2 linked regions of the Drosophila melanogaster genome follow. The protein of the gene in region 2 purifies or fractionates together with the protein of the main gene of each other region. This does not show direct contact. Each region holds a gene or a part of one and is shown on either strand. Other genes may lie near its edges.

Region 1 (4,766 bases), on a different chromosome or scaffold from region 2:
AATCATAGCGGCTACCAACAACGATATTCGGCAATCCATTAACCACATTGCCCTGCTGAGCGCCAAGGAAGACGCTTCCCAAAAGTCAGGGCAGCAGGTTGCCACCAAGGATCTGAAGCTGGGACCCTGGGAGGTGGTGCGAAAAGTCTTCACCGCGGACGAGCACAAACACATGTCTTTTGCCGACAAGAGCGACCTTTTCTTTCACGACTACAGCCTGGCCCCGCTCTTTGTGCAGCAAAACTATCTGCAGGTCCTACCACAGGGAAACAAGTAAGTCTAGTTTACCTAAGCCAAGGGCGTACCCATTCACCAACTTCACTCTTTGCAGAAAGGATGTCCTGGCAAAGGTGGCAGCTACGGCAGATGCCCTAAGCTTGGGTGACCTTGTTGAAAAGCGTATTCGTGCGAATTCTGCTTGGAGTCTTCTACCCACTCAGGCCTTTTTCAGCTCGGTCCTTCCTGGCGAGCACATGTGTGGCCACTTCACTGGACAGATTAACTTTCCCGGGTGGCTGGGCAAGAATTCCAAGTCTGGAAAACGTGCCAGGCTGGCCCAGGAGCTGCATGATCATACTAGGGTCTGCACCTCGGGCTCAAGGCTATCAGTGAGGCTGGATTACGCCCCCTTCCTTCTGGATAATATTGTGCGACCTCTTGCAAAGGATGGGCAGGAGGGTGTGCCCGCTGCTTTAGACGTTATGAAGGATTACCATCTACTCCGTGAGGATCTGGACTCGCTGGTCGAGCTTACATCCTGGCCCGGCAAGAAATCCCCACTGGACGCAGTGGATGGGAGAGTAAAAGCCGCTTTAACGCGATCCTACAACAAGGAGGTTATGGCATACTCCTATTCCGCTCAAGCAGGCATCAAAAAGAAGAAATCAGAGGCTGCTGGAGCGGATGACGATTACTTGGACGAGGGTCCGGGCGAAGAGGACGGAGCTGGTGGCCACTTATCATCAGAGGAAGACGAGGACAAGGACAACCTAGAGCTGGATAGTTTGATCAAAGCCAAAAAGAGGACAACTACGTCAAAAGCGTCTGGTGGATCCAAAAAGGCTACATCTTCCACGGCTTCAAAGTCTAAGGCCAAGGCCAAAAAGTGAATGCACTAACGATTTCCTATATTATATGATGATTTTTTTGCCATCAAATTTCCCATTTGTAAGTAGTTTTTGTTTAAAATCTCATGAATGGCCGGCACTGGCCGACACTGTTTATACTGCTGAAAATATATATTTACCAATAAAATATGTGCTTGAATTGCAAAACATTTTATTATAACACTGAGTGGCGTAGGTGTAAACTAAAAAGGGAAAAATTGGTAATAAAATAATTGTCTGTATGAATAATACTACGAAAGAATTGAGATGATGATTTTTTAATTGATCAATTGTTTGCTTTAACTGTATAAGGATCAAGAGCGCGAATATGTCAAGCTCAAATTTATTTAAAAAAAATTGTTGGTAACGCGATCAGTGATGGTCACTCCATGCTCTATAATTTAAACTAATTTGTACTATCGTACATTTACATTTGTGAAAAATACGTTTACAATTTAAAAATTAATTTAAGTCTTTAATTTATACTTAATTAATTATTATAAATATATTATAACATAATAACGTTTTTGGCCTGAAACAAATCGATGATGTTGCGAAGCACAATCGATAATGCAGCAATCGATGTTTCGGCAGCCCTGCTATCTCGTGGTAGCGCCAAAGAGTATCGTATCTGAGTTTTTTCCCCGATGTCAACGCGAACGGATGCACGTACTGGGCAGCGGAAAATGCAGTGAAAATTGCCAGAAAAGTCAGGGGACAGCATGTGCGGGCAAATTCAAGCGAAGCATTCGATTAACTGCCAGAGTGCGCGATCCACTTGATTTTCCGGGAATACCTGCCACGTTCGACGGGTTTCGCGTTCTATATTTTTCGCACTGAAAATTCTCGGCTTACGCGCGCCTGTGTGTGTGGGAGTGTGTATCTGTGTATCCGTGTAAAGGGCGCAGCTCGGCGAAAAACAACACCCATAAATGAGCGAAGCCAGCCTGGCGTCGCGCTTTTAATCAAATTAAAATTAATTGTAGTTCAAAGCGTCGAACTCGTCCGCTTTTTTTTGTTTTTTGCGCAACTCTCTGAAAATTCAATAAGCACGTAAATTCCAGCACACACACAACGACTTCAACCGCGCACACACACAGATACAACGCTGCCGAGCTGGGCGAGCGAACGCGAGAGCGAGAGCGAGCGCGCGATAGAGCAGGCAAGTGCAGACTCCGATTCCCTCCCACACCCCCTGCCCAAGCACCCACCCCATTGCTGTTGTTGTTGGGCCAGGCCAGGCCAGTCACAAGGACACTCTCAGCCTCCCAGCTCACGCATACATGCTCACGCCCGAGAGCCAGGGTTTTGCGCTCCTCTCCCCTTCCCATTCCCCTTGCGCTCGGTAAACAGGTGCCGCGCCTTGTACCGTTACTTTGCCTGCCTTCGGAGGGCTTCGTGCTGCGTGTTTTGGCTACACATGTTTACCTTTCAGCACTCGCCCAAACGTCATTGCAGTGAGTGTGAATCCATCCAGGGGTCAAGTGGGGGGAGTGTTGTGAATGAGGGATTCGAATAAACGAATTTTCCAGCTCATAGCTGTCGCCAATACTCCTTTCACGCAGCATGCAAATTGAGATTTACTCATAATGTATTTTTCGCCCACAAGCCATTTGTCATAAAAACGGTAAAGAATATGAATGTGATTTTAGGTTTATCACATTTCGATAGAACTTATGATGCCACTTGTAAGATAGGATATGCTATAACATCCAATTTGGATGTAAAGATAGCGTTTTTTTTTTTTATACGGGAAAAGAGGAAGAATGGCTCTGAAATGCTTATTTTGCTCCCAGTCGAAGTACACATTGTCCACCTATTAATATATTCAAGCTGAATACAATTTCCTTGCTTTTTCGCCTTTCGCCTTTCATCTTACCCGCATCCTGCCTCATTTTTATCGCCCTTTTCACATTTCTCTGCACACAGCGCTCCATATTCAGGTCATTGCATTTGTTCGACGTTCCACCCCATCGAAACACCACCCACTTCTCGCCCTTCCCCACGCCCCCTCTGACACATTATGCTGCGATCGTCCTGCGTGTGAATGTTTACTTTTCAATAGATTTCGCTTTCGTTCACTCGAAAGTCTGTCAGTGGACAAGTTCTTGTTATTTTCCGCCTCATCGGCGGACCCTGCATTTTTATCGGCTCATGAGGTCAGCGCATTTTTCTGTGCCATGGGACGTATCTCTATTTGCATAGTGACGAAACTCTTCAATAATAAACTCCGCAAAAAGACCGAAACTGATATCAGAGACCTTCCGATAAATGGTTTGCGATAAGGCAGAACAAGGAACACAGTTACAGCTGGGCACCCCTAACGGGTTCAGTATCTTTATCCAGACTGCAAAAACAATAGCCAGAAATGAAATAGATACACCATGGGTGTACATGGGTGAAAGACAGTTGTTCTTGCGTAAGACGACCTCTGTTCATATTTTGGTTGAATGCGAGGTCTGTCTGTAAAAATATAGTATAGTTCGACATACAGGAGGTTTCACTGTACACCACACATATGCAGCACTCTGTTTACACCGCTTCTTATCAGCAGAACGCGGTGTGTGTGGGAGAACCGCTTGGGGCGGGCTAGCGGCACAGATAAGCCAACGCCGACAACACACTTGACTGAAGAGAGCGGAACCGAAGCTGTCAAAATACCCGTTTGTTAGCAAGCTGGTCGTTGAGTTTTTGGCTAGTCAACAGCCCTTCTGACATCATCATTGGGGCTCTTTTAGGATGGATCAAAGTCCCGGCCTAAAAGTTTGCCGTGTAGAAAACTAGGCATATTCTTCATATTCAGTACGTAGTTTGTAGGGTAAACTGTTGGAATATATTTTCCACTTATGACAATGTCGAAGCCATTACACGGATGCAATGGATAAATATAGGCCGAGACAAGAACAACTTGACTTGGCTTGTTGGCCAAAAGAGAACGAGATATTCGTGCAGACAAAATGAGTTAATAGTGGACTCTGGAGAGACTATCTGTCGTTGAATCCCAGAGATACACAGATACAACACACAAAGTCCGCTGATGGCCGCATTGGCCCGGCTAAATTAAGTTGCAAGCCCACTTCCAGCCTATGCCCACATAAATATTTAATTTGCGATCTCAATTCGCTTTGTTGGCTTTCTGAGTGTGTTTTTTTTTTGTTTCATGTAAGCCAGCAAAAGCGGAGAACATATAACAAAATGAGGGTGGTCGTTGATGCGCGGTTCACCCTTGTTCTCCTTTGTTTTTCGGCGATTTAATTGAAATTTGTTTACTCGCCAGTGATTTACACTCGTTAGCAGGTTTTCTGGTTTTGGTCAAAGCATAAAACCATTACCATTTCCGTTTTCAGCTGCCTGAAAATCGAAATGTATCTGGTGTCACGGCCCGTCCGTTATGTGCTGAATATAAATTAAGCACAGTCAATGTGCTTGATCCCCTGTACAGTGGACTCAGGCAAAACCACCAACAGTGCTTCGCAATAAATAATCAATAATCAAAAGTTTTTTTTATTGCTTTCGTGAAGGCTTGTTAACGACGAAATACTTTGCTTACTTCTTACTTTTTCTTACTACTTTGCTACTTCTTGTAGTGCTATAAACATTTACATGGCATTTATTTGAAAGATTCCTTTAGAATATGGTAGCAATCCTCTGTAGGAGAGT
Region 2 (5,659 bases):
CCCGTACTATCCTAGCATATCCTGGCATATCCTGTTCGCCTTTTTTCCGTGCTGTCATGCATTTGTATTTGATTAAACATTTTTTACGCGTTTCCGTTGAGAGCATCATTAGTTTGGCCCGTTTAGAGTTTCACTATGGACCGACCAGAGACTGAGTTGAAAACACCCTGGGATTCCACCCCATCGTCATCAAGTTTCCTCGTCCTTAGCCCAGTGCCCAAATGCATCTGTCCGATTCAATGGTCCACTTCCGCTTTTCCGCCTTGGCAGTTAGTGTGTTTTGGTATTTGTTTTAGTCGGTCCCAGATCGATGGACCATGTCAATGGCCCTTAATGGCATTTCATTACTGCAGTTCGCCGTTATTTGGGCATGATTATAAGGAATCACCCAAGAGCACTCATCATTATTGGTTACCAGTCTTACAACCCCCGTATAGATGATATATGACCACCTCGCCGCAATTATAAAGCAATCATTTGGGGGTTTGTTTTCCCTGACAACCCAAAGAGAACCCAACAAGAAGTTTTCATTTTCAGTTTTGCGTTTTTATTCAAGAGCTTTTATAATTTACAATTTTTATGGGTTTTCCAAGATTGGGTTTTGTATAAAAATATATTGGTTTCCGATAAATATATGTCGATTACATCTTAGACATCATATAATTAAAAAAGGTCTTCAAGAGTTTGTTTTTGTATAAAAATATATGGTGTATATTACGTATAAAAATACTTGGTTCAATGATCTGTCTCCTCTTAGCTTATTGTTAATGCACAATCGAGCGCAACGATTCTCTTGTAAACTTGAAGCTTAGACTGTAGTATCACAAAATCTCAACCGATATGGTTACATGTATGATATAGCTTAGAGTTAGTTAATTCCTAGATTGAGCGAAAGTTTCCCTTTTCGTTGTACTCTGCGGTTACAACCAATTTACACATACTGATGCTAAGGAACAATAGCGCTGTGATATTGTCCCGATATCGGGGATTACTTATTTTATTGCTTTAAGTACACAACCGCCGGTTCTGAAGCCTGTGGCCCTTATAGCTAGGTTGTACTGTTCAATACTTTGACTGGTAGTGAGACGCTGGTCCAATGTCCGTTTCTATGCCTAACTTAACTAACTAAACTAAACTGAGAACAAGCTGATTCCGCTTGATTAGGTGGCTAAAATGACTAGAGCTCACACTCGACTTTGGTTCACAAACACTGGGCTTGAATTTGCTTTAAACTAGGATTTGGTTTGCTTTTTGGTTTGATTCGAACTTAAACACTATTACTGCACAATTTTGCCTGAATTTTGGTTTCGGTATATAACCTGAATATGACTAAAGCTGTATCCGAAATTGAAGAACGATATATGTTTGTACAAACTTAGTAAGATCGAACTGAAGCTGACTTATAGAGATGATTTATCCTAAGTGACTAGAAGGAATGCAAGAACTTGTGACTAGAATGACGAGAAATTTCCAGATTGAAAAAGTTGTTAAAGGGTTGAATTAAGGGTAGAATATTAACTGGAAAATGATTAGCAAAAAATGCAAAGATGATACAGGATGAGAGTGAGTCATGAGGAAATTGGTATGAAAGTGTGAAAAGCTATGGGATGATTAGTAGTAAGAAGAATGAAGGATGATATGGGTGATGAATGATGTCATGGGATGATGTAGGAGCAAAGGAGTAGATGGATATATGACTGACTAGTATTAGTTATAAATCTTTGGTTGGTTGCTTTGGCTTTCGTTGTAGGTTCATTGCACTCCCAAAAGTTCCTAAACTAGCTAAATCTAGAGACTAATAGAAATGCCTTCGTGGTACACAAGAGACACTCTTTTCGAGATCGTATTGAAGCTGACTAGTGCCAAGATTCTTTGGATTCACTGACTAGAAATTAAGTTACAACTAAATTGCCGTGTGGAATGTGGGCCGAAGTACGGATACAAACTAGAGTCTAACTAGAATTGAACTCATTTTGCGAACGAAACTGAATCGGTTAAGAACTAAATTTTATAGCTAACTAAGAATACGAAGTGGAAAACGAAATTTCCGTGGAATATAACTATTTCTTTGGTCTGTTTCAGCTGCATCGGGTTTGGTGTTCAACTAGAAACTAAACTTAACATTAAAAATAAATCTCACTCGATTTCAGTGGGCCATGGTTGTGTGTTGGATGACGGAGGCGCAGTTCCTCAAGTTGGTCAGAGCTGCGGCAGCAATGCTTTCCTCCTCCGTGAGACCATGTTCCACAATCTGAAGCCGTCCGTATCCCGCAGATGAGGCGGAGGAGCTGGAGTCCGAGAGGTAGTCGTTGTCATAGTCGTAGTTCTCCCTGGCATTCGATCCCACCACGTAGACTCCCTCATCGGAGTGCGAACTGCTGGCGGAGGAGGAGGTGGACACCGCCTGGTTAAAGTGAAAACTGCCTGTGATAGTTGTGGTGGTGGGCTTCATTTCCAACTGTTTTTCCGCTGGCTTTTCCTTTTTCTGATGGGTCAGCTGGTGCTTCCTCAGGTAGGCGGCTCTCTTAAACTTCTTGCCGCACTCCTGGCAATCGAAGGCCAGTTCCTCCTCCGACTTTTTCTCCACCTGCTGCTGTTTCTCCGGCTGGTTGGTGGTATTGCGATTCTCCTTTTTAGACGCCTCCTTCCTCGGCTTGTGCCACCGGCGATGGGAGGCCAAGTTAGCAGGACAATTGAACTGCTTGCCGCACTCGGGACACCGGTACTCCAGCAGGACGATGCAGGCGCACCTGTGCCGGGCCAGGCCGAAGGCGTCCTCGAACTTGATCTTGCACAGTCGGCAGACATAGTCCCCGATCACGTTCTTGATGGCGGCCAGTTCCGCCTTGGTCTCCTCCGTGATCTCGACTATGTTGTACTTGGGGTCAATGTCGCCGTTGCTGTACTGCATCGATCCATCGGTGATGTCCTCGAGCGGTCGGATGACGGTGCCCGAGACGGGGGAACTGGTCTCCTCATCGAACTTCAGCTTGCGGGTGGCTTTATTGCGGGAGGGCTTTCCCGAGGAAGTGGAGGCCTTGTTGGTTTTAGGCGCAGATTCTGCCACTTTGACGGGTTTCGCTGGTGTGGATTCTACTGTTTCCACCGGAACCTCCTCCTCCTTTTTGGCCATTTTAGCCGGCTCGTCGTCATAGCTCTCCCGGCTCAATTTACGCTTCCCTGCTGGACTCTGCGGTGGTGTTGGGGGCTTCACCGGCAGCTCCTCCACCTTGGTCACCTCCCCCTGCACCTCGCTGGAACTAGCACTCGTATTTTCGCTATAGACCTCCGCGAATGTGGCCGCCATGGGCACATCGCTGCTGGGCAGTGGTGAGGGAAGCTTCAGCGTTAGATCCAGCGGTATTTCGCACCTGGTTTTCAGGTTCAGATATCGACTGCGGTACTTGGGGGGCAGCGAGGCCACTGTGGTCAGCAGGCCCAGGCCATGGGGCATCCCCTTGTGCTGCAACTGGATGCCAATGCTGTGCGGGTGGCTGAGCTTTTCAATGGGCTCCGCGGGGGCTGGAATCGGTATCGGTGTCTGTATCTGGGCCATGGCATCGATGGGACTTTCAACTTAAAACTTCAACGAGGCAAAACGAAAACGGAGTAGAACGGGGAACGTAGAACGGGAACTAAGCAAACTTAACAACAAACTGATAACGCTGATCCTCGCGGACTGGGACTCTATGCAGAAGACCTCCAGTCGGCTCGACGTTTGTGCTGCGAATGACGTTCGGTGGACTCGGTGGCGGCTATTTATGTGTACCACAGGCCAAAGGAAAGCGAAACCGAAACTCGAAATCATTGTTTGTGCCGGCGTCCTGGAAATACATTTCAACCCCCTTTTCGGCCGAAGTCGTTGTCCTTTTTCGACGCCGGCAGAGCCGCAAAAGCCGGAATCTTTTGTTAGCAATCACACACACATTAGTCACCCTTTTTTCCACACACACACATACACACGGAGTGAAAGTCCTACGCACACACACACACCACACAGTCTCCCGTTTTGCGGCCAGGACAATGCACTCGGAGAAATCAATGTGCGACAGCTGTTGTTTCGGTACCCGAAATTGCCACGCACCAAAATCGCAGCACCTTCCTAGGCAAATATGAATGTATGTTTGTGTATTCAGCGGAAATCTGAGCAGCACATTGTCCTTATTTTTGCCAAAAAAAACAGCTGACACCCATGGAGTCGTTAATTGAGCATGTAACCATAAGGTTCATCAATAGATCGGGAATATCCTTGGGCCAAAAGGTGAATTGTTTCTTTGTTGGCATTTGGTGCTAAACAGCTGTTGGCCAAGATGGTTATAAAAGTAAACAATGTAACAAGTAATAACGGCTGGAAAGTACATCAACATAGGGCATAGTTCGGATTGCTATCTATTTTTACATTTTTCATACATCTCATACACAAATTTCGCGATGTGTACTTTGCGGCACTGCATTTATCAGCCTCAGACGACTAAGCTCGTCAAGTTCGCTTTTGGTGGGGTAGGTAACAGACTAACAGACTAGCAGACACAACTTGGATTCGAACTTCGAACTTCACCACCGCGGAGCATGGCGCACAATCGCTTCTATCCTCGTATCCTTGTCGCTGTAACGGTAGCTGTATCTGTGTGCGAGTATCCTGGACGTGTATCGTTCGTGTGAGTGCTTTGCATTAATGTAATCGAAATGCGAAGCCGACTGAGCTGACTGAGTCGACAGTGGTTGCCATGAAAGGAATGCACTTTCGATTCCCGTCGAGGGCTTTCGTCGCAGGATTCGCAGGACTCTCGCTCTTGGAAAATATGGCATATTATGTTGAACACGCCGCCATTGTTGTTGTTCTTGTATTACGGTAGGCACGTGCATGGCAACGATTGCCACCCCAAAACGGGCTGACAATGTGAGCACTAAAAGAAAATACCCCCAAATTGCATAGTTGATCTAAGATTTCAGCTTTATATTCAATTGAATGTATTAACTCCGCCAGAATGCTATAATACACATTGTACAATGAATTGAATGCGCTACTAATATTGATTTTCTCGCAGTGCATGGTTGAAAGTGCAGAGAGTATTCCCAAGGCGATCCTGTCGCAGCAGGGTGGCCTTTTGCCAGGGGAATCGATGTTTGCCATGCAGCTTAGAATTAAAATAGCGCACGCATCCGAGGCCAAATCCTGGGCCAAACTTCGGATCGAGTGAATCGGCGACAAAAGTCTCAGAAGTGCGCCAGCCACGCGAGCATTGTCCTGAAGGTCCTGTCGTCCTTCGGCCGCGATGGCTGCCATCCGAAGGTCCTGAAAGGCATCGCAGATACACTGATTCAAAATCCATCCCCGTGCCGGGTGGCGAAAGTCCTCCCCTCCGGAGGACTCGGTGATGCCTTGCCAACTTATTCCTGTCAGTCACAAATGCCGCCTTATTTGCGATTCACTAAAGTGAGCGAAAAAGGAAACGGGAAATCAAGCCATCAAAAAGGACGAAAATTGATTAATCTGAGACAAGCCCATTGAAACGGATTAGTGCGCGTTGTTTAGAGGCTTCTCTGCGGTTATCATCATCCACCAGATCAGAGTGCACTTTTGATATTTCCATGGCATACGATCTCCGCACTTGCTTCTAAGGGGGAAGTCGTCTATTAAATCTCTAGAAGTTTCGAT

What was found. The genes of interacting proteins can lie anywhere in the genome.
Region 1: the proteins of nerfin-1 (region 2) and Cdep purify together in Drosophila melanogaster (affinity purification with mass spectrometry, with the first as the bait; one large-scale study listed by BioGRID). This does not show direct contact.

What each region holds. Positions count from the first base shown.
Region 1 is NT_033777.3:4,908,818-4,913,583, forward strand, and holds the start of Cdep (Chondrocyte-derived ezrin-like domain containing protein), read left to right. Parts: upstream 1-1,734; 5' UTR 1,735-2,268; intron 2,269-4,766. Other genes in the region: Gnf1 (germ line transcription factor 1), read left to right, coding at 1-273, 332-1,109.
Region 2 is NT_037436.4:907,195-912,853, reverse strand, and holds nerfin-1 (nervous fingers 1), read right to left. Parts: upstream 3,743-5,659; 5' UTR 3,557-3,742; coding exon 2,147-3,556; 3' UTR 535-2,146; downstream 1-534.